Linked DNA regions of Xenopus tropicalis. The protein of the gene in region 1 purifies or fractionates together with the protein of each later gene. This does not show direct contact. Links are inferred from orthologs where the notes say so. Each region holds a gene or a part of one and is shown in the gene's direction. Other genes may lie near its edges. The genes, in order: inpp5k and gart.

Region 1 (10,888 bases):
AAGATACCTTCATTTGATATTTTTCCAACTCTTTTTTCATCTAGTGGATAAAATAGTAGAGAGACACACAGAGCAGTAGTCATAACTAGTCGGTGGCATAACTGTAGAGGAAGCAGACCCTGCGGGGGAGCAGTGGGGCTCAGACTACTGGGTCTGCTTTCTCTATAGCAGTGAAGAACTGCCTTCTCCCACCCCTCTCCTGATAACGAGCAGGGAAAGAAGGGGGCGGAAGTGCATGTTTTGTTAGTACTTAAAGGAGACATTTTATATAATATTCATATTCAGTTATACTTATTCATCCTCCCTTTAAAATGTGTAATGATGCAGAAAAATTGACTATGTTTTGAAAGCATTTTACCTCCTGTGACCACAGGAAGTGGTCACAGCACTGATTGACAGGCTGAACTCAGCAGTAGCAGGGGAAGCCCCTCCCAATTGCCTCCCTCTGTCTCTGTTCCCTAACTACATAATTTTGGTGGTGCTGCTGCCAGATCAGTAAGCTAAAACAATATACTTTAAATGCATAAAGCAATAGATCAGAGGGGGTGGGGAACAAGCAGAGAGATATAAATGATCAGAGAGAGGGGGAAACGAGCAGAGAGAGATGAACAATCAGAGGGGGGGGGCAAGCAGAGAAAGGTGAACGATCAGAGGAGGGGGCGAGCAGAGAGAGAAATAAACAATCAGAGGGGGGTAACAAGCACTACTTGGGAATGGCAGCCCCCCCGACTTACAATGTCCACCCACAACGAGCCCTGCACATTGGCTATTGTGGCACCTTATTCAAGTGCCAACCCTCTCCCTTATGTTTGTCCCAAGCAATCAACGGTCTCACCACAGTGGCAGTCCTGTTGTAGCAATAGACCGCTCCTCCTAGTCACCCCTAATCCCCACTATGCTGGATCTCAGCTCTCTCCCCACTTAAAGATGCATTCCGCCTCTTCCTTTCTGTGTGTTTCACCAAAGTGACTCACTAGTTGGTGTACTGGAGATTGTTAGAGATTTTTGGAGATTGTGCAGTGTTTCTTATAATAGTTAAAGTGTCTTTTATGTAATATACGTTGCTGCTATACATTTCTCCCTTAAAAGGGCTTCATTAGGCAAAAATATTGACAGTTAAAAATTTTGCTTGTTTGAATAAAATTTTCAGTGTCAATATTTTATTTTAACATAAAGAAGGCATACATCTTTCATACTCTGCTTTCTCCCATGAAAGGGAAACAAAGGGGGCGTTATAGTCCGTATGTCGGTGTATGGGCACATGGTTTGCTTCATGAACTGCCATTTGCCAGCACACATGGAAAACACCAACCAGAGGCTCGATGATTTTGAAAGGATGCTGGACACTCAGCAATTTGATGACGATAATACTGGAAATATTCTAGACCATGAGTAAGTTCTGGTAAAGAAATGAATAAAGTTAAGTGCAGTGTGTTCTCCAGGTCTAGTAACCTATAGCAACCAATCAACAGGGAACTTTTATTAATCTGCTGTTTGAAATAGAAAGCACTGGGTTAAAAGGGACCTGTCACCATAAGAGATAATTCCAAGTTCTTTTCTATTGTGCTAGTCGGGCAAAATGAACTTTACCTACACTATGTAAAATATATAAACTTTGTTTCTTTCAGTCTTGAAAATCGCAATTACAGCAAGCAGCCTTTAGATTATCTAAAAATCTTGTTTATGCACCAGAATGCAGCACCTGATGTTCATGCACAGGCTACACAAGTATAGACAGTGTAGAGGGAGGGGCAATAAGAGGAGTGTAGTGACATCTAGGAAGTGCTGAATAGAAAATGAAAGTAACTGCCTGCCCTACACAAAGCATAGAGGTGGGCAAGTAATATGTGATTGACAGATTTTTAAATCATTTTATAACAGGTATAAATGTTGTAATACAAAAAAAATTTTGGGTTTTATGTTTAATTTGAAAAGGATTTTAATTATACAGCTTTTTATGTCTGGGTGACAGGTCCCCTTTAATAAACTTGGGGCTGATTTGTTGTAAATTGTGGTTTCTCCAGTAATGCGGTTTTAGTATAGGCTTAGGCATCTTTCTATCCCACTAGCAACTTTTTAAAAAAATGTATTTTTTGTGATAGCGTTTGTGTATTACTAAGCCCTAGATGTATTAACTGTATCAATATGTTATTTCCAACGATGAGAAGTGCTTCTTGGACAGGGGCAAATTCTAATGGCATTTATGTTTGTTTATGTTACTCTAAAGTCTCGTGTTTTGCTTTGGAGACCTAAACTTCCGGATTACAGACTTTGGGATCCACTTTATTAGAGAAGCGATAAACAGTAATAAATACAACCTGCTGTGGGAGAAAGACCAGGTATGCTAACTTACAGACCGCTCGTCTAATTTCACTGGTGTCTAGCATTTAATCATGCTTAATTTTTTGTGTCGACTTCCTAATTCTTTTTGTGTAATAAGCTCAGTTTCAATTAAGAAACTTTGTTTTTATAAATGTGCATTTATTGTCACACAACAGTATAAACAAAAGTATAGTCATACACACAAAATGGGATACTGTGCCTCAGTAGGAAAATCATTTTCAGCTCTCTAAGGCTACTGCCACACCATGTGTATGGCGTATATTTTGGGCAAGCCGAAAAACGCTTGCCGAAAATTTGCGCCATATGCTCCTACCTGTGCCTGCACCCGAATGTATGGAATACGCTTGGGTGCAGGCACATATAGCTGAAATCCACATCAAAACGCAATGCAAAGTGTTGCGTTTTTTATGCATATTTCGGCTACATGTGCCTGCACCTGACTTTATTCCATTCATTCGGGTGCAGGCACAGGTAGGAGCTTATGGCGCATATTTTCGGCAAGCGTTTTTCGGCATGGTGTGGCAGTAGCCTAATCTTCTTAACAATATTATAAATAAGTTGAATTGAACCCAACAAACTTATATTTGAGAAAAATTTAAAAATTGCATCAGTTGTAAATAAAAAAAAAAATTGTGTATGTGAATAGAATTTTCACCAATGTGAAGTTACTTCTCATACTCATGTGTGCTCTCCTTTTAGTAAATTGTTATTGTTGTGGCAAATTTTCAATAAATATGGTCCCATGGAGAAAGACATTTGTTAATTAAAGGAGTTATTCACCTTTGTAGTACATTCACAAATTTAACATTAATAGAGCCATCTTTGCTTTATACACAGTTAACAAAAAATGTGCAGCTGAAGAGATATTCACCTCAGAATCATCCTTCTGCTGATCCGTCAATTCTGCACAGACCCTGTGCTGGAGGGTTGTGGGGAGGGGCAGTGAACCCCTAAACACTACAGCCGCTTGTTTTTCTTCCTGATGTTACGCATAGTACTGGCAGCAGACTTAATTTGTACTGAGTACTGCAAACCTAACATAACATTATATTAGATTTGTGATATGCTGAGTCTGTTTGCCTATGCCTTTGCAACCAATGACTTTTCAATTTATGCAACTGGTTAGAGTGCACAAGTAGCCAGTGAATTGGTCCAGAAGGAAAAAAGTAATGGCAAAGCCTGAATGTGATGTTGTAAGCATATAGGAAGTTCTTAGTGTGCCAGGTTCAAAATAGGCCATTCCCATCCCTTACAAAAACTGATCAGAGAGACAGAAAAGGACTGATTTAACAGGTATAAAAGTAGTTTTTACAGTGGCCTTTACTTGTTTTTACACGCTGAGTGCATTGTTAATAAAATTTGGACATTGAAGGTGAACAACCCCTTTAATTAAGAAATTACTAATGACTCTGTATTTTGCAGCATACACATAAGGTTTGAGTTCAAATTGGAGAGCATTGTATTTGTAGAGATGAGAATTATGTTTATGCTTTTATATTACTGGTCTGAATGTGGAATGCACACTCCTTTAAATGCATCTGTGGTGCTTTATTAGAAAGGTCTATGTAAGTACAGCCATAAGCACTCAAAGAAACGCTGCACTTTATCGAAAGAAACATAGAGTTCTCTGTCAAAAGATTTGTTGTGTCTGGTTTCCTGTGCCAGAGACACGCAGCTCTCTCCTCTCTCCCCTCTCCTGCTCCCCCCTCCCTCAAGAATGCTATGAACTCACTTATGAATGTGGATCTGAGCCAATCAGCAGGAAGCTTCCTCATAGTCTAACTAACTGAGCATGTGCACCGGTCTGGGTCTCAGTGCAGGAGCGAGGCATTATGGGAACTTTCTTTACACAGCTCAGCGTTTTTTCTTCCTGTTTGGCTTCTGATCATCTGAACAGGTGAAATATGGGGAGACTTAAGGGCACTATTGAGAGAACTGAAGGTATGCCTGCAGCTTGAGATTAACTCTTTATGGTTGCAAATTCATTATAGCCTGTTCTTTGAAATTTGGTACCCAGTCATGTAATAACTCCTCCAAAACATCATTTCAATACTCTTTAATATGGTTTGTGCTTTGTTTTTTCTTCCAATTAACAGTTAAATATTGCTAAGAAGAAAGAACCTTTCCTGCAAGGATTTCTGGAAGGACCACTAAAGTTTAAACCCACGTATAAGTTTGACCAGAATTCTGATGTATATGATACCAGGTACAAACACATATCCCAATGTAAGACAGTATGGCCTTCACCCCGTTGTGCTTTATATTCATCTCTTTGCTTTGTTTCCAGATGGAGAAAGTCACTGTTTGGACTTAAGTAAGATTAAAAAATATCCCTTGTCTCAAACTAAAACCAGTAGTAGACTATACTAAATGAGTTATCAGTAGAAATACTCAAATGTAATGCAGTATTCCTACATGATTTCTCTAGAAAACCTAATAACATCATGTCAAACCTGTTGCCTTAGTTTGCTGGCTCAAATATGCACAAACTAAGAGCGAAATACTTCAGCTTGCTAAATATCTCCAGGACTGAAACATTTGGAGTGTTGTCCATATTAACCCACACCTAAATAGATGGTATCCCCATATAATCTTATGATACAGCCGGAAAGCTATCATGATCTGTGCTTTTATTATTTGTTACTACTATACAAATTATTATTTTTCATATTATTTGTGAATCAGCATTTGGATGAACGTATTTAATTTTTTGGGAAGAGGCATTAGTCATTTAGAACTGAGTTAAGAGATAATTTTACTCTGCTTTCTAGTGGATGGGACCTGTTTGTGGTGGTCGCTACAAAAAATAAACTCTAAATATTGTAAAAGCATAGAAGAAAGTTATCAAAATGTTATTGTATGGTTTTATTGGGTATTTGATATAAAATTTAAAATGACACACTCTTTTTGTTTCATGACAGCAGATATTTGACTTGCTATATAATCTTGTCTTCATTAGTTTCCATTTCCATCTATACATTAGCGTTATAAGCCAATCAAAGATGTTTATAAAACTAAAAAAAATAACATTAATGTTTATTTTCAGTTCTATTATGAGGGGGAAGGTGTTAGAGCAGTGTGGTGGTTACTGAATTTTATGAACATTAAAAGATTCTAATATCTCATAATACTATACAGATATAATTTTCAGAGAAAGGAAGATGGGGAGAAGCTGGAAGGGTGAAGACAAATGATCCTTAAATGAAAGAAAAAATGTTAACTAAGGAGGGGTGAACAGCAATAAATAAATATGGGCACAGTACAGTAGGTTGGCACCAAAAACATTTGGAGTCAATTGCAAGCGCAATGTGGGATCTTAAAAAGGAGGTGAACAGTAGGTGAAAATAAAAGGAATGTTGGTAATGGTATATGTGTGGTAAAGGAAAGCAAAATTACCAAAACAAGTGGATATGCAGATGTGACTAGTGAACGAGAAAATGAAGTGGGTAGGAAGCCAAAGGAAAGTGTGTTAGCAAAAAAACACCAGTAATGTAGTGGGCAAATAGGTAAGTAGAAGTAGCAATTGGTGATAAGTGGAGAAGACTAAAAGCCAAAGGTTAAGCAGAGAGGGAAATAAGTTATAGGCTTGGTAGGAGAAGGGGGTTTAGGTATTGACACTTTGTATGAAGTTACATATTTTGCTTATAATGTATCCCCATCTTAAAGTCTGTTTGAATTGAAATTGCTTCTTTGTTGAACATGATTAACACCCTCCCTAATGTTTCTGGCTGTAAAACACGTGGAACGCTTAAAATAATCCATCACCTAGAATGTAGGAAGTGCAGCATAGCACCACATAGTGCTGGCTTATTTTCCATGCCAATTGCTGTGTTTTTGTTCAACATTGTAGCAGCAAGAAACGTAAACCTGCATGGACAGATCGCATTCTTTGGAAGTTGAAGGATGTTTCGGACAGTGATCCTGGTGAAACAACCGGTTTGGACTTTGAACAGTTTTTAAAAGTCCGTTTGGATAAATACACAAGTCACATGAGTTATGGGATCAGTGACCACAAACCAGTAACTGGGACCTTCACCCTGCAGGTACACTGCATAGTGCTCATTGACCTCGAAAAGAAAATATTCATAGAATTTATTTAATAAAAAGAAATTACCATACTTTGTTTAGTTCAAAGGGGAACTGATGCTTAACAAAAAAAGTAGGGTAGAAATTTGAACATTATGTTTTAGGGTTCTGTGCCAGGCAATCGCAGCCCTTTAGCAGTGATGATCTGTGCCCCCAGTGGCACCCCATCTTCTTTTCTGCTGATTCACTGCACATGCTCAATTATGCTGTCAGTTACCTGAGTTTAGGGACCGGCTCAAAATGTACTGTATTGTGACTTTGTGTTCTATATATCCAGTACAAGGCTGATTAGTCTTTAATTCAGATTCTCATTACATGGCAGCTAAGTGCAATTAACATCAGAATTCAATAATCAGCCCTGTAGCATCATCTTATATTATTGGCCAACTTAATTTTATCTTCTTAATAATTCGCAACAATCCCTAAGTTTAGCTTCTCAACAGCTGCCCAGAGCACACTGAGCATGTGAGTGTCACTGACACTGCTAGCATAATCTAGTATTTGGAACTCCTGTGCATTTCTCGTTCTTGGGGTTTAGTTCTTCTTTAAATATTAACTCTGATACAGATATTGCCAGTGTTACGTGTGTGTGTGCTCTGTACTCTTAACAGGATTTTTGTTCTCTAATATAAACAATCAACTAACAAGATTCGAGGTATGTATTGCCACATTATACGTAGGGAAATGTACCTGTGCTTATAGCTAGCCCCACCTTTTGTTTCCTTCATGGTTACATTGACTGCATTTAACATAGTATTTAGGTTCACATTCTCAAAACGTATCTTTTTCAAATAGTACAGTGCAAATAATAACTATTTGCAATTGCTTTCTATTTTCCTGTTTTTTTGTAAAAGTTACAGATTAAAAAATGAATTTGGTTTATACCCTCCAGCCCTCTAATGTTGCTCAGTAAGCTAGAACGCTGTCTAACCCTGCTACAATTTGATATGCTAGTTGACAGGGCCAGGCCCCCCACAAAAAAAATCTTTGGAGGGGGCCTGGCGTGAACAGTCCCTCCACCCACAGGGTCTGCTGTTTATGTAGTTACACCACTGTTGATACATGTTTTGGCAGCTGCAGCTTCACTCCGTATTTAGCCTGCGTTATGTCACAACTGTCACTGTTTGATACACTAGTTGCTGGCATATCTCTTATATTGCTTTGAAATGTATTAAATGCAGGGCTGTGCAACTAGAGGTCCTCCAAGGTATTGTTATTGTCCCTGTTTGACATCCCCATATTAATATAATCTGACCCTCACGCAAAAATCTAATTTGCCCACTACATTGGGCAGCGCTGGAATAAAGAATAAAATTTTAACTGATTATAAAGTCGTCATATAGGTTACAGAGTTTCTATGAAAGGGAAGTGAATTAATTTGAGTTTACATTAAAGGAGAAGGAAAGGCTAAGTCACTTGGGGGTGCCAAAATGTTAGGCACCCCAAGTGACTTAAATCGCTTACTTTGTACCCCGGGCTGGCACCCCTATTAGGAGAAAACAGCACCAGCCCGGGGTACCTGTAGCGAGCGCTTCCTCCTGCCGGTGAAACTCCTGGGCCGGCGCATGCGCAGTAGAGTGAAAAGCCAAATTTCTTGTTAAAGTTCAGCATTTCACTCTACTGCGCATGCGCAAGCACGCAAAACATGAAGAAGGAATTGCTCGCAGCTACCCGGGGTACAAGGTAAGCGATTTAAGTCACTTGGGGGTGCCTAACATTTTGGCACCCCCAAGTGACTTAGCCTTTCCTTCTCCTTTAAACTACATTCAAAATAAATAGAAAGTGAACTGAAAAAAGGCTGTTATTTGTCATGTACTCTTTGAAAACAAGTTCTGTAAGGGTGAGCTGCCCCTATAACTCGGTAATTTTTTACAGATCACTAACAGCCTCAATTCAAGTTTTGTTTGTTTCTATAGTTGAAGCCCCTCATTCTTTCACCTTCTGTTACACTGAAACCCGAAGGAGAATGGAACGCAGACCATGATTCCTTAATAAGCTATTCTGTGGCAAAAGACTTTCCCAGCAGCACCTGGGATTGGATTGGACTTTATAGGGTATGTTTTCCTGCTTTCTCACATGCATTGAATTACTGTCATTTCCTTGCTTAGCACCTGTGGTGCTGCTGGTGCCCTAGGAAACCTATAGATCTCATAACAGCCTCACATGTTGCAACTGAGAATGCACATAATATTTTTAGTAAAACAGGCAATTAGAGTGTTTATTAGAGCCACAGACAGATGGGAATAATTTTTCAGGGGGATGAACCGTCCCTTTATCACAAATACCAAACTCAATGTTTGTAAATGGGGAGCTATTTCAGGTTTCCCTGCCCTTGGAGCTATTATTCATTACATGGCAAAACCAGCGACATTGCCTTTATAGGTGTATCTTTATGGAAAATACTGTATAAATATAAACCTGCATTTAAATCCAATTAATAAATTGATCCTAAAGGAGAAGGAAAGTTGAAAACTAAGTAAGCTTTATCAGAAAGGTCTATGTAAATACAGCCATAAGCACTCACAGAAATGCTGCACTCTATCGAAAGAAACATACATTTTCTTTTCTCCTTTTTTGTAAACATGTTCTTTGGGTATCTGACTTCCTCTCTCAGATAAATCCTTCATTACTGTGGCCAGAGTCTGCCTAGTTCTCTTCTGAGAACTCCCTCCCCCCTCCCTTAAAATATGTGATCTGAGCTATAATGGCTTGAGCTATACAGCAGGAAGCTATAAAGACCAAGCTAAAATGGCAGTTGCAATCTTAAGCAAACAGAGAAAGCTTCTAGGGCTCTTTACTCGGGTATGGTAAAGCTTTCTGAATAATAAATATAGTGTTCTAGGTGGCACTGATTTGGTGAATCTTTTGGCAGCAAAATGCCAAAATGACTTTCTTCTCCTTTAAGGTGACAGATTTAAATTGTTGATTCAGCCCCTTCGGACTGAGTTGTCAGATTATCTGCCCTTGTATGAAGTCCTCTGATGGGCCTGCTCGACTAAAATCTGGCCAAAAGTCAGCTAGATATTGATCAGGCAGGTTAGTTAATTGTTTGGCCCTTGGTCAAGATGGGTAAATCTGGGAAAGATTTTGTCATTTGGCTACCTCAGCAATGTGCAACCAGCTTTTGTTAATGTAAGTATGTAGAAAACTACAAAGCTTCTGTGTTACTTGAAGTTTAAAGAAAGCCAATTCTTAGGTCCATAGCTCCCAATTATATCTACAAGTATGTAGAGAATAAGGATAGGGTGCCACAAGGAATTGTCAGCCTGTGTATAAGAGCAGGCTGACAGTGCGCCTGTATGCTTGAAAAATCTTCTAATTGTTTCTGCACCCGGAAATACTGAATCCGCCCAGGTGCAGGCACATGTAGCCGCTATCCGCCTGCGTTAGTTGATGGAGTTTGGCTGCGTGCCTGCACCCGAGCACATTCAGTGCTTCTGGGTACAGGCACAACAAGAAGAATTTTTAAGCGTACCAGCGAATCTGCCTTCTGGAGCCTTACCGTAAAAGTTCAGTGGAACCACTATGCTCTCAATTATTCTTTTATCACAGTGACAGCACTGAAAAAGATTGTTTTGTTAAAGGATTTTCCAAATGTTAGTAAATCAGCTCCTAAGTGACTTTTTTATGACTGATACTGACTGAACAGATTGTAATCATGCTGCAGCATTCCCACACACTAAATATAACCCAAACAGAGAATATCGAACTGCCATAATGATTTGTTATCTCACAGGGCAGGAAACCAGTTATTAGATAGCAATGCTCCTTCCCTTAAATACTTAGCATTTTTGCATTTCACCATAGTGCACGGCATATTCCAGAAAGTGCAGTTCCTTGAATTGTCTTTTCCCAGATAAGATATGTTAGTTCTTTCCACTTTTAGCTTTTAAAAGATATTTATAATGCGATCCAAACTCATATTTCATATAATACAAGAATAACATTGATCTTGTCAAAACAATTTGTTATCTTTCTCATGTTTTAACCTATATACAGCAGTAATGAAATTCTGTCATCAAATATGGGATAATGCAATAATATGTAATGCATATGATAGCCCACCTCTATTATCAGAAATAAACTGAAATAATAAAGAATAATACATCTACCAAACTTCTACTGTAAAATAGATTGAGTGAATTACAAGTCACTGATGAGTTCCATAACAAGGTCAAGTACTTTAATACAGGTACAGGTATGGGATCCGTTATCTGGAATCCTGAAAGCTCTGAATTACAGGAAGACCATTTTCCATAAGGTCCATTTTAATCAAATAATTCAATTTTTTTTCAATTGATTTCCTTTTTCTCTGTAATAATAAAACAGTATCCTGTACTTGATCCCAACTAAGGTAAAATTATCATTTTGGGTTTATCTATGTTTAAATGATTGTTTAGAAGACATAAGTTAAGGAGATCCAAATTACAGAAAGACCCCTTATCTGGAAAACCCCAGG
Region 2 (10,888 bases), about 32 Mb from region 1:
AATGTCACTGGTATAAATAGCCTTGTGGTTAGGAAGTAACTTGGGCAGGGTTTGCCCCTCTGGTAACGACATTATTTTATATTTCTTTATTCTGAAGCACTCGGCAGGTGCAAACTAACTGCTTATTGGTTACTGGAAATTTTACCCATGTTACTGCATAATACCTAATCGTTAGTTGCTGGATATAGATGTAAAATCTGTTTCTGTTTACTGTAATAGTAATTAGCCCCCTGATTATGATAAAGATTATATAGGGTACCAATAGGAGCAGACCAACGTTTTTGGCTGGGGCTGCATGTTGAGTGCTCCGTGCAGCTGTAATTATTGCCTGCAGTCATGATGCATTTAGTATTTGGTGGCATTGCTTTCCAAATCCTCACCAGAACTGCTGGTATTTATTTATTCATTCATTCAGTTTCCCTACATGCAGCAGAACTGGACATGGAGTCCCACTAAACACTGGCACGGGGCAAGCAGAAGTAAAGCGGCTGAGCTCTTTTTGTTGCCCTGACTGTAGCCATTTGTAGCATTATGGATGTCAAATGCAACCTCTGCCTAAAGCTGGCTGATCTTGTTTAGCAAGGTTTCAAAACGAGCAGATCTTTTTCCTGATGTGGGCAATATCGGGCTTAATTGGATCATAATGACAGAGATACAGGCCATAGGGGAGAGGACAAAGTTAATGAGCCAATGTGTTCCTCAGTCCAGTGGAAAAATTAACCTGCCCGATTGTTGGCCAGATATCAGTTAGTTAGTCCCAACTGTAGGGCCCCATAAAAGGGCAGATAACTTTATAGTTAGCTTGGGAGGAGAGCCCTTCAGATCACACCAAGGGCCCCTTAAAGTCACACTTCTGGCGGGCCTTGGACACCCCAGTCCAACCCTGCTGTCTGATTAGACAGCTCAGTAATTGTATCCCTGTTCATCCATTTGCAATGATAATACTATTAATAACCATAATATTTATCATGTGCCACATATTCCACAGGAGAGTGTTTATACATCAAACATAAATACAAATTCTGATCATGTGGAGAGCACCTAATTTTAGGTTAGTTAATTGTAGCTGGAAACCGAACGCAGATGTGTTTTCTTTTGAATTAGAAATTCCATAAGAACAATGACTTTATCTGTAGTGAGCTTTTGCTCTCACTCACACCCTTAGTCCTCCTACTGCCACTTCCTTAGTAATATTCACCAATTACCGTGCATCCTCATTGGCAATTGGGTCCATGTCAGGAGCCCGAAGTGCTGATCACAAGTTCATTCATAAGTTGTCTTGTGACACCAGTTCCGACTGCACCGACATTTATAATGTGCAGCCCTAAGCAGAGCTTTCTATGGGGAGGGGGCAGGAAGGATGGGTGCTGAGGGATAGCAAGTAGTACCTATTTGATAAGCTATTAGTGCAACTGGAGACAACTTTTGTTGAATGGCTGTTACCCCAATGTTTCTATATATCTGTAACCTTGTTATGGGCTAAGGGGGCCCAGCCTGAAGGCCAGTTAGAGGGAGATTTGGGGTGAGTGCTTATTTGTGCCCTGGGTACCCCTGGAACTATAGCAGGGTGACTGTTACCCCAATGTTTCTATATATCTGTAACCTTGTTATGGGCTAAGGGGGCCCAGCCTGAAGGCCAGTTAGGGGGAGATTTGGGGTGAGTGCCCTGCCTAGAGGGGACAGTTAGTTCTGTTGCATTAGAGATTAAAGTGACTTTGTTCATATTGCCGTATGTTCAGACAGGAGTCGGTTCTCAATCAGTGGGCATCATGTTAAAATAACTTGCTGATTGCGGAGCTTTCTGATTCTTTTTTCTCTTCCGTTACAGCTGCCCCAGTCAGTGACCATGCCAAGCTCGCCCAGTTCTGCAAAGATAACCATGTTGGCCTAGTGGTTGTTGGTCCAGAAGCTCCTCTTGCAGCAGGTAAATTACATGCCCAAATTATCACCTTCACCCTTCGGAGAGTAATTTAAGCCTTCATCCCCTTTGTTTCTCTCTCTCCCCAGGGATTATCGATGATTTGACTGCAGCCGGAGTGAGGTGTTTCGGTCCTACAGCCAAGGCGGCACAGCTTGAGGCCAGTAAGAGTTTTTCCAAAGAATTTATGGACCGACACAACATCCCAACTGCCCGCTGGAAATCATTCACTGACCCCAAGGAAGCCTGCAGCTTTATTATGAGGTACATTATGGATAACTGTGTTCTGTGAGGGTGCCCAAACTGTTCAGAGCATAGCATGTATATAATAAGTTTCAAATTACTGCTAATAATGGTAAGCTTGGTGCCTTTGCAAAACTGTGTGTTTGTGCTTGGGTCATGGATGTGTATTGGAAGCCATTCCTCATCTATAAAGAGAAGATGTGAGCAGATTTTGCCTACTGGGCCATAGCATGCAAAAGGCAATGGCTGCTCAGTTTTTTCCTTCATACAGTCAGAAGGGGCTTTTGTTCTATTAAATTAAAAAGGAACCAGGTTTCTCACTATGAAACTAAGGCCATCAACTATTGTCTGCTCCTAAAGTGGTCTAGCTTCTAATCTACACACTTCTGATGTATTTAATACATCTCATATCTTGTCTTTGTAGTGCTGATTTCCCTGCATTGGTAGTCAAAGCGAGTGGCTTGGCAGCGGGCAAGGGAGTGATTGTGGCCAGCAGTAAGGAAGAGGCTTGCAAAGCTGTGAATGAGATCATGCAGGTGAGTTATATAATAGGCCAATGGGAATATGGCCTGTACCCATTGGACCTGCAACTCGCAACATTCCAAAAACGCCATTGGAACGATGTGGGATTGGACTTCAGTAATTTTAAGTTAACTTGTAGCATGTTATAGAATGGCCAATTCTAAGCAACTTTTTATTTGCTCTTCAGTATTTTTTTTTTTTTTTTTATAGTTTTTAAATTATTTGCCGCCTTCTTCCAACTCATTGCAGCTTTCAAATGACCCCAGCAGCCAAAAACTATTGCTCTGTGAGGCTACAGTGTTATTGTTAATCTTTATAACTAATTTTTATATCCAGGCCCCTTCCTATTTATATACCAATCTCTCATTTAGACCGCTCCCTGGTTACTAAGGTAATTTGAACTCAAGCAACCAGATAGCCGCCTAAACTTCAAACTGGAGAGCTGCTAAACAAAAAGTGAAATAATTAAACTAAAAATAATAAAGAAATGAAGGCCAATTGAAAATTGTCTCAGAATTTTACTCTCTACATCATACTCAAAGGGGAACAACTATTGGTCACTATTCTAAGGCCAATCACTGGTGCCAGCATTGGTGATATTGTGAAGGTCACAGCCTGCTGGGAATTTTCTATGTCCTAGTCACTGCAGTTTTGTACTTTACAATGTATTTTTGTAAACTAGATAAGATAATGAATATGGAACAACAGCACCACATGTTGTTCAGTTTGGTAAAGTTGGCAGAAAATTAAGTTAGCCAGCAGAGGAGAGTGTGAAAATACAGTTTGTTAGTCAGATCTAAGCAGAGTAAAAGCACAATCGAGAGATGGTGACACATGCTGTTCAATAAATGTGCAATTGCCCATAAACCCAATTCCTTTGTATTCTCCATCACAGGACAAGGCATTTGGAGAAGCTGGAGACACAGTGGTTGTGGAAGAGCTGCTGGAAGGGGAAGAAGTCTCTGTAGGTTGATGGTTTTTGTCATTTGTGCTGATATGTATTCTGTTTAGGTTGTTTTTTCTGCACTTTTCACTTATCAGCTAATGAAAAAGGCAGCTTCCATTTATGCCCCAGCCAGGGCTTCTCTTATATTATTGTTGTTTAAATATGCACTGGGTTACGGCAATGTGAGGGCAGTTGGTAAAAGAGAACTATGATAGGTCTGTAGAGTTTAGCTCTGCAGGCTGTGCCTGTGCCTTATAATTATATTAAATATGTATAAGAATGCCACCCTGCACTGCTTAGAATTATATGTTCTTTCATTATGCAATATAGTTCCCTCCGTCTTTTATACTTTTCTTGATACAATGGGATATTGTTTTTCTTTTGCAGTGTTTGTGTTTCACAGATGGAGTCACAGTTGCTCCAATGCCACCAGCTCAAGATCATAAAAGACTGTTGGATGGTGACCTTGGCCCTAACACGGGTGGAATGGGAGCCTATTGTCCAGCTCCGCAGGTAAGTGGTAAATGATGTTATACTCATTGGTCAGTTTGTTGTTCTGTCCAGCCCTCAAAGAGGAAATAAGCACTCATCCCAGTTTTCCTTAAGGCTCTACTTATAGGACTTAATATCCTACTGCAGGCTGAGGCCTCGTCCTGTATTGGATCCCACCATGGAGGCTAGCCCCACAGTTTGGGACCCACAAACGCCTTTCTCTGCTTACACCAATACCGTACAACAAGAATATTTATCTTTTAGATTACAAAAGATTTTCTGGAGAAAATCCAAGACACTGTCTTGTTGAAAACCGTTAATGGAATCCGTCAGGATGGTGCACCGTATGTCGGTAAGTGTTTGTGCAACTGAAATAGTGCCATGAGTTGCAATTGGCTGTCATGGAGTTTATAAAGAAATGCTGATTGCTTGTTAAGTAGGCAGTGCTTATATGTACATTTTCTGCAAAATGAATTGGCCAACGATTATATATAACATCAACAGGTTTTTCCTGTTTAAATGCATACTGCTTCCCTTGACAATAAGATATTATTAGCCCTTGGTATAAATGGGAACTCATTTGTTGACAATCTGGAAGTGATAGTGAAAGTGTGATAGGAAACAAGTAGTTACACACAGATGATATCCCTTATTATCCTTACAGTATAATACAATTGCCAGTTTGCAAGCAGTATGACAGCACTGGGATTATTTATTCTTTCCAGGTGTGCTCTATGCCGGCCTGATGCTCACTATGGATGGCCCCAAGGTACTTGAGTTTAACTGCAGATTTGGAGACCCAGAATGCCAGGTAATTATTAAACAGTTCTATTTCTTTTAAGTATTTACAATGTGTACAATCAGGAGAGCCTATCCAGCCTCTCCTTGCTGGTCTCTCAATATATATGGAAGCCAGATCCTTAACCCCCCTCCATCCATTACCCACTGTGCTCTCTGATAAGGAGCCTCTTCCTGTGTTCCTGTTTCTTGCCAGTATTACTTTATTCATGTTCTAATTTTTTCTTTTTTTTCTTTTTTAATTCAGGTGATTCTCCCACTCCTACAGAGTGACCTTTATGATGTTATTGTGGCCACTATTGATGGCAAACTGGCCAGTTGTATGCCAGTGTGGCTAGAAAACCACGCAGCTGTTACAGTTGTTATGGCCAGTGGAGGCTATCCCTCTAACTATGCCAAGGGGTTGGAGATCACTGGTGAGTCTTAGATAAGTGTCGTCTGTCAGCTCTGGGCTGGGATACAAAATAGGCCAATGCATTTTAAGTACACAGAGGCCCAAACAGCCCCCCCACAGGCCCATTAAATAGTGAGTGTCTATGGCATCTTACAGCAGCCCCTCTGGCGTTTGCCAGAACCCACAGATTGGCAGTCAGGGCCTGACTCTTATTGTAACTAATAAAAAGCCATTACAACATTTATTATGTTCCATTCTGAACTGAGCTGTAGATACTAATTATCTAATCAGATACTGACTGTGCATGTTATTGTAACAACCCTATAAGCGCATTAGAAGGTGCAAAAGATAATTTAGGGTTGCTCCTTATGCTCCATAGAACGCATGTTAAACAGTGATTGGTGAAGAAGGTACAGTACTTGGCAATGCTGGGAATCTATTCAGCCCCCTGCTACCTCTTTTTCCCTGTCTTGTCTTGTACCATAGGGGAAGGCTGTGACCTACCAGAGAGCATTTTGGTGCTGCACTCTGTCCCCGTCATATGTATTAAAAGGCAGTAAGTTTTCCCAGGAGCAGTAGCCAATAAGATGTTTGCTTTTAAATAGGTGACCAGTAAATACTTCCTGTAGATTGGTTTCTTTGGGATGCTGCTCCTGGGCAAACTTGGTGCCTTTTATTACATAACCCCTGCATATCCTTCTCTCTTTCTGGGGTTACAAAATAAAAGGCACTAAGTTTGCCCAGGAGCAGTAACCCACAGCAACCAATCAACTGGTCACCTGTTTAAAAGCAAACATACTTTTGGTTGCTATGGCTTATTGCTCCTGTGCAAACGTAGTCCCTTTTATCACCTGTGGGGGTTAAGGTCCGGTTCTAAACATTACAATTTCTTTGGAAATTAGATGAATAATCTGTGTATTTCCTGCAGGGTTCCAAAAGGCTGGAGAGCTGGGTCTGGAAGTGTTCCATGCAGGCACCGCCCTCAAGGATGGAAAAGTGGTGACCAGTGGAGGGAGAGTTCTAACTGTCACATCAATCAAGAAGGATCTTGTATCGGCTCTAGACCAGGCTAACAAGGGGGTGGCAGCGATACAGTTTCAAGGAGCTGTGTATAGAAAGGACATTGGCTTCCGGGCTATTGCTTACCTTAATCAATCCAGGTGTGTATCGGAACACTTGATCTGAGGACTGTCTGTAGCATGAACTGTGTAGCCTTTGGGTCTGAAATACAACTGGACCAGGTTAAATAGAATGAATTAAAGCACACAGAACCCACCAAGCCCATAAACCAAGTACAGGTATGGGACCTGTTATGCAGAATGCTGTCAAACTGGAGTTTTCTGGATAAAGAATATTTTTGTAATATGGATCCCCATACCTTAAATATATTAAAAATGATTGCAACATTAAATTAACCCAATAGGATTGTTTTAATTTATAAGTTGGAAGTTGGAGAAAGGAATAATTAGAATTATTTGCCATCTCTCTGGTGCTTTCTGGATAACAGGCTTCTGGATAATGGATCCCATACCTATACATACACTTTCTACTCTCTTACATTTCTTAATTGTACAAATTTAGCTTTCATGTTGCAGTAAGCTGTAGGTTATGTTAACCCCAATATGAGACAAAATAACAATAGTTAAAATCCTAATAGAGGACGTCTTTTTATAAAACCCCATTAGATAAATGGCACTATGTCCTGATTGTATGGGTTACTTATCTAATGCACGTCGTGGTATTTGTGTTTTTGGATAAATGATGACAATCCATAATCAGGCCAAAAGTAATTTCCTTATTGTTGTGACTGGCTCCTATATTTACTGTGCTGATAAATGTCCCATAATTGTTTTATTTTGTCTCCTGTTACTGGAACTGTGTGTGATTTGCTGTAACCTTGAGTCATTCAGTCTCAGCAACTCTCGTGTCTGTTACATATTTTCACCCTGCTGTGTATAAGACGATTTCTTTGTAACCAAAAAAAAATTGATTTGCTAAAAAAATGTGTAATGTGTCTTAATTTCAATTAAAGGTCAATATCTTGAAAGCCTTTTAGGAGCAGTTAGTCGCGCATGATAGCAGAGATCTATTGCGGGCAACTAACTTGCTCCGTGGGTTATTACTCTTTAATGGGGGGATTTGTCATAGTCGGGAAACACACAGTACCAGTCAGCTGTAGAACTAGTGATTTGGCTGGGCCAGTGGTGTAAATGACAGTTTCTGCCCCCCCCACCCCCAACTCTGCATTGTGTTACCACATTACCTGCCCAACTGCCCCTTTCCCGCTAATGCAAGTTTCAGCAACACTGGCACAGGCAGTTCCCTTACTGGGAACCCCTTTTTTCCCAGGCCTCCCCACACACACACACTCAATGGAGTCTGCTGGTGCCAGGTGAAGCCACTGAACAGGACTGTTTTGCTTCTCTTTATTCCCTGCCCTAGAATTGGTCATATTTCAGTCAATTCCCATCTCTAGTGGTTGCCGTCAAGCTGTAACAAGACTATGCAATAATAGGGGTAAAGTTAGGTCCAGCAGCATTTACTAACCAATCAGATGTATGCTTTCAAAGAGCAAACCAGTTAATGTTACTTGCCATTAGGTTTCTTGGGGTTACTAGAACTTAGAGACTTGCTTACATGTCCTTTACTAGGTATGTGATCTTGGTAGGTCTCAAGCATAGTAGGAAGGTCTGAATTCCTTGAATCCTTCATATCACTCACCTGCTTGTGTAATCTCTACCCCCAAGTGCCAGCAATGATTATATAGAGTACTATTCCCCTGTGTTTATAACATGGAAGATGTGTCATACCAGGCCCAGTACTGCAAATGTAATTCCTCACCAATAAATAGGGGTGACAAAGTCATGTGTAGGTAGTTGCTTGGTCACTGCTGTAGGGATGTAGCTATAGGATTTCTGCATGTTTTCTTCCCAGTCGACTTTGGGGTTCAGCACTGGGCTGCAAATGTACCCCTTGCTAATCGCAGGTTCTGCTTCAGACTTTGTAGAGCAGTGATCTGCCTTTTAGGTCACATTATATCTAAATCACATTCTATCTCTAATATGATCTATGCATATCAGATATGGGAGTTCCCCTGCTTTACTTCACATTAAATAACTCTGATATAGAGATCTAGAAATCTTTTTATTTTCCATTTCAGAACACTGCATCAGTCTTATTCATGGGGTGGGTTCACAGCACCCTCATTCTTACAATGCTCCCCTCTTTATCCTGCCAGGTCCCTGACATACAAGGATAGTGGTGTGGATATAGAAGCTGGTAACAGTTTAGTGAAAGCAATTAAACCATTGGCTGCAGCCACTGCCAGACCAGGTAAGTCTCCTAATTATTGGTGTCCTGCCTTGGTCATAGTAGGTGGGTAATCACTCACTGCTGGAGAACATTTCATAACTGTAACTATGGGATCCATATAAAAAAAAGTTATGTTGTTTTTCCTCCCTAAAGATGCCCATACATCTCCCGATATCCCCCACCTACGGGTGGGCGATATCGGGAGAATCCAGGCTAATTAGAACGACGTGCATAGGCAAAGTTGGTTCGGTGACCGCATCAACAAGCCAATGCGGTCCCCGATCCGACTAGATTTTTTAACCTGCCTGATTGATATCTGCCCGATTTCAGGCCAGATTTCGGTCGGGCAGGCCCGTCAGTAGTTCCCATACACGGGCCGATTAGCTGCCGAATCAGTCTAATAAGGGACCGATATCGGCAGCTAGAATCGATCCGTGTATAGGGACCTTTATTCTGTTACATTGCTCGGAAGGCATCAATGGAATGGTACATGTATTAATCAATGACCTTGTAGGAGTCATCCAACATTGTTAGCTGAAAAAAACTTTACTTTAGCTACTAATACCCAACCCTCGCCTGATCTGCTTGTGGGCTAAACCCTGCCCAAGGGTCAGTCAGATAAAAGTGGTTGGGGAGAAATCATGTTTTGTATTATCTGTACTGGAGTTTACTTATGATCACGTTGTGCTTTAGCGAAGGCTGCAAACTGAGTCTGGAACTGATGCAAGGGTCAGGTTTTGGTGTCCTAATTGAAGGCCCTTGGGTTAGTTGCCTAACCCTGCCTATTTGGTTCAAGCTTTTAGTATTTGGTCTGCAGCTTTTGAGCTCTGCCCCTTCTATGTGTTACAGTGTATGTAATGCCCTGCACAAAGGCATATATCCCTGTTTCAACACCAAATATATCCTGACAACACCAAATGCTCTGTGTGTGTGAAGATGGCAATGCTTTGCCAGGGGGATATTTTTTTAGTAATATGTGCTGTGCTTGGGTAACTGTTACAATATGTCCGCCTGGCAGGATGCAACGCAGAACTCGGAGGGTTTGCTGGCCTGTTTGATCTGAAGGCTGCTGGGTACGTTGATCCTATCTTGGTTTCTGGGACTGATGGCGTTGGCACAAAACTGAAGGTAAGGCCAGATTTACATGTGCACCTCCAGAAATAAAATCTAGTGAATAAGCTAGAAATAAAGTTGGTGCTTCTGGGAAAAGTCTCCATATTGCAGGCCAGTCACTGGGGCTAAATGATATAACCTCGCCTGTAATATCCTGCTTCTTATACAGAGTAAGGTGACCTTGTCCCAAAGCCATAGCAGTTTCATAGCCTTGTCTGGTCCCTGGTGCTGCATTACATAGAGAGGGCTACATGCTGGTCAGTTCTTACACTTAGACCAAGGTCTTAATGAGATCATCTGGGCACACAGGCCCTGTGAACTGGTGCTGAAGGAGCTGCAGGTTATACATTATAAAAACCTATTGCCAGATCTGTCAATTTCTGTGTGAATGCCAGTTGGGTGGCAGTTTTGAAAGCATTGCTGGATCATCGCAGTCAGTGTATGGCCAAACTAGGAGATTAATACTTTCATTTTTAACTATCCCTTTGCACTCTTGTTATTAAGATGTAAATATATAAATATTCCCCTCTTGCTTTGGTTCCACCCAAGTTTTTATAAGGGTGCTAAAGGCTCAGTGTAGGCTTCTGTTCACTGCTACCTGTCTGGCCACAATGTTCCTTATCACCCTCCTTTGCCCTCCCATTGTGTTATAATCTTCATACGTTTATAATATTCTACAGGCATAGCTGCAGTTTGCTATCAGTCTGTTCATAGCAAACCTATTCCCTATGCTAAGCAATGCTTTGGGATAACTGCACAGTTTGTATGTATGGCTCTACCTGAGAGTGCAGGCAACTATGGAGCTTCTGGGAACCTGGGCCTTCCTGTGCTTGTGTGCTCCATTAATTCCCATTAAACACCCATTAGAAAACCTTGCAGATGGGTTTATCATTGATGGAAGGCAAGCTCAGCCCAGTCTTCATGAGTTCATGTGAAATAATATAGTCATATATTATCATATAGTGTCCTATTTAATATCTGGGTGACTGTGTATTAATAGATTAGATTTTCCCATAGTTCAAAAACAAATCTCTCCCATGATCTGATTTTTAGTCTCATTTTTGGCAGATTGCACAGGCCTGCAATAAGCACGACACCATTGGGCAGGACCTGGTAGCCATGTGTGTCAATGATATTCTGGCGCAGGGGG

Evidence for each region.
Region 2: the proteins of inpp5k (region 1) and gart purify together in Homo sapiens (co-immunoprecipitation; 3 studies listed by BioGRID and IntAct, counting the BioPlex papers as one, with this or other methods). This does not show direct contact. The link is inferred for Xenopus tropicalis from reciprocal best matches to the Homo sapiens genes INPP5K and GART.

The regions. Positions count from the first base shown.
Region 1 is NC_030678.2:45,869,509-45,880,396, forward strand, and holds part of inpp5k (inositol polyphosphate 5-phosphatase K), read left to right. Parts: intron 1-1,216; coding exon 1,217-1,392; intron 1,393-2,227; coding exon 2,228-2,339; intron 2,340-4,439; coding exon 4,440-4,549; intron 4,550-6,193; coding exon 6,194-6,386; intron 6,387-8,345; coding exon 8,346-8,483; intron 8,484-10,888. UniProt on the Homo sapiens protein: Inositol 5-phosphatase which acts on inositol 1,4,5-trisphosphate, inositol 1,3,4,5-tetrakisphosphate, phosphatidylinositol 4,5-bisphosphate and phosphatidylinositol 3,4,5-trisphosphate.
Region 2 is NC_030678.2:13,993,982-14,004,869, reverse strand, and holds part of gart (trifunctional purine biosynthetic protein adenosine-3), read left to right. Parts: intron 1-1,828; coding exon 1,829-1,924; intron 1,925-2,007; coding exon 2,008-2,182; intron 2,183-2,585; coding exon 2,586-2,697; intron 2,698-3,578; coding exon 3,579-3,647; intron 3,648-4,016; coding exon 4,017-4,142; intron 4,143-4,385; coding exon 4,386-4,473; intron 4,474-4,846; coding exon 4,847-4,932; intron 4,933-5,166; coding exon 5,167-5,335; intron 5,336-6,241; coding exon 6,242-6,473; intron 6,474-8,551; coding exon 8,552-8,646; intron 8,647-9,643; coding exon 9,644-9,753; intron 9,754-10,806; coding exon 10,807-10,888. UniProt on the Homo sapiens protein: Trifunctional enzyme that catalyzes three distinct reactions as part of the 'de novo' inosine monophosphate biosynthetic pathway.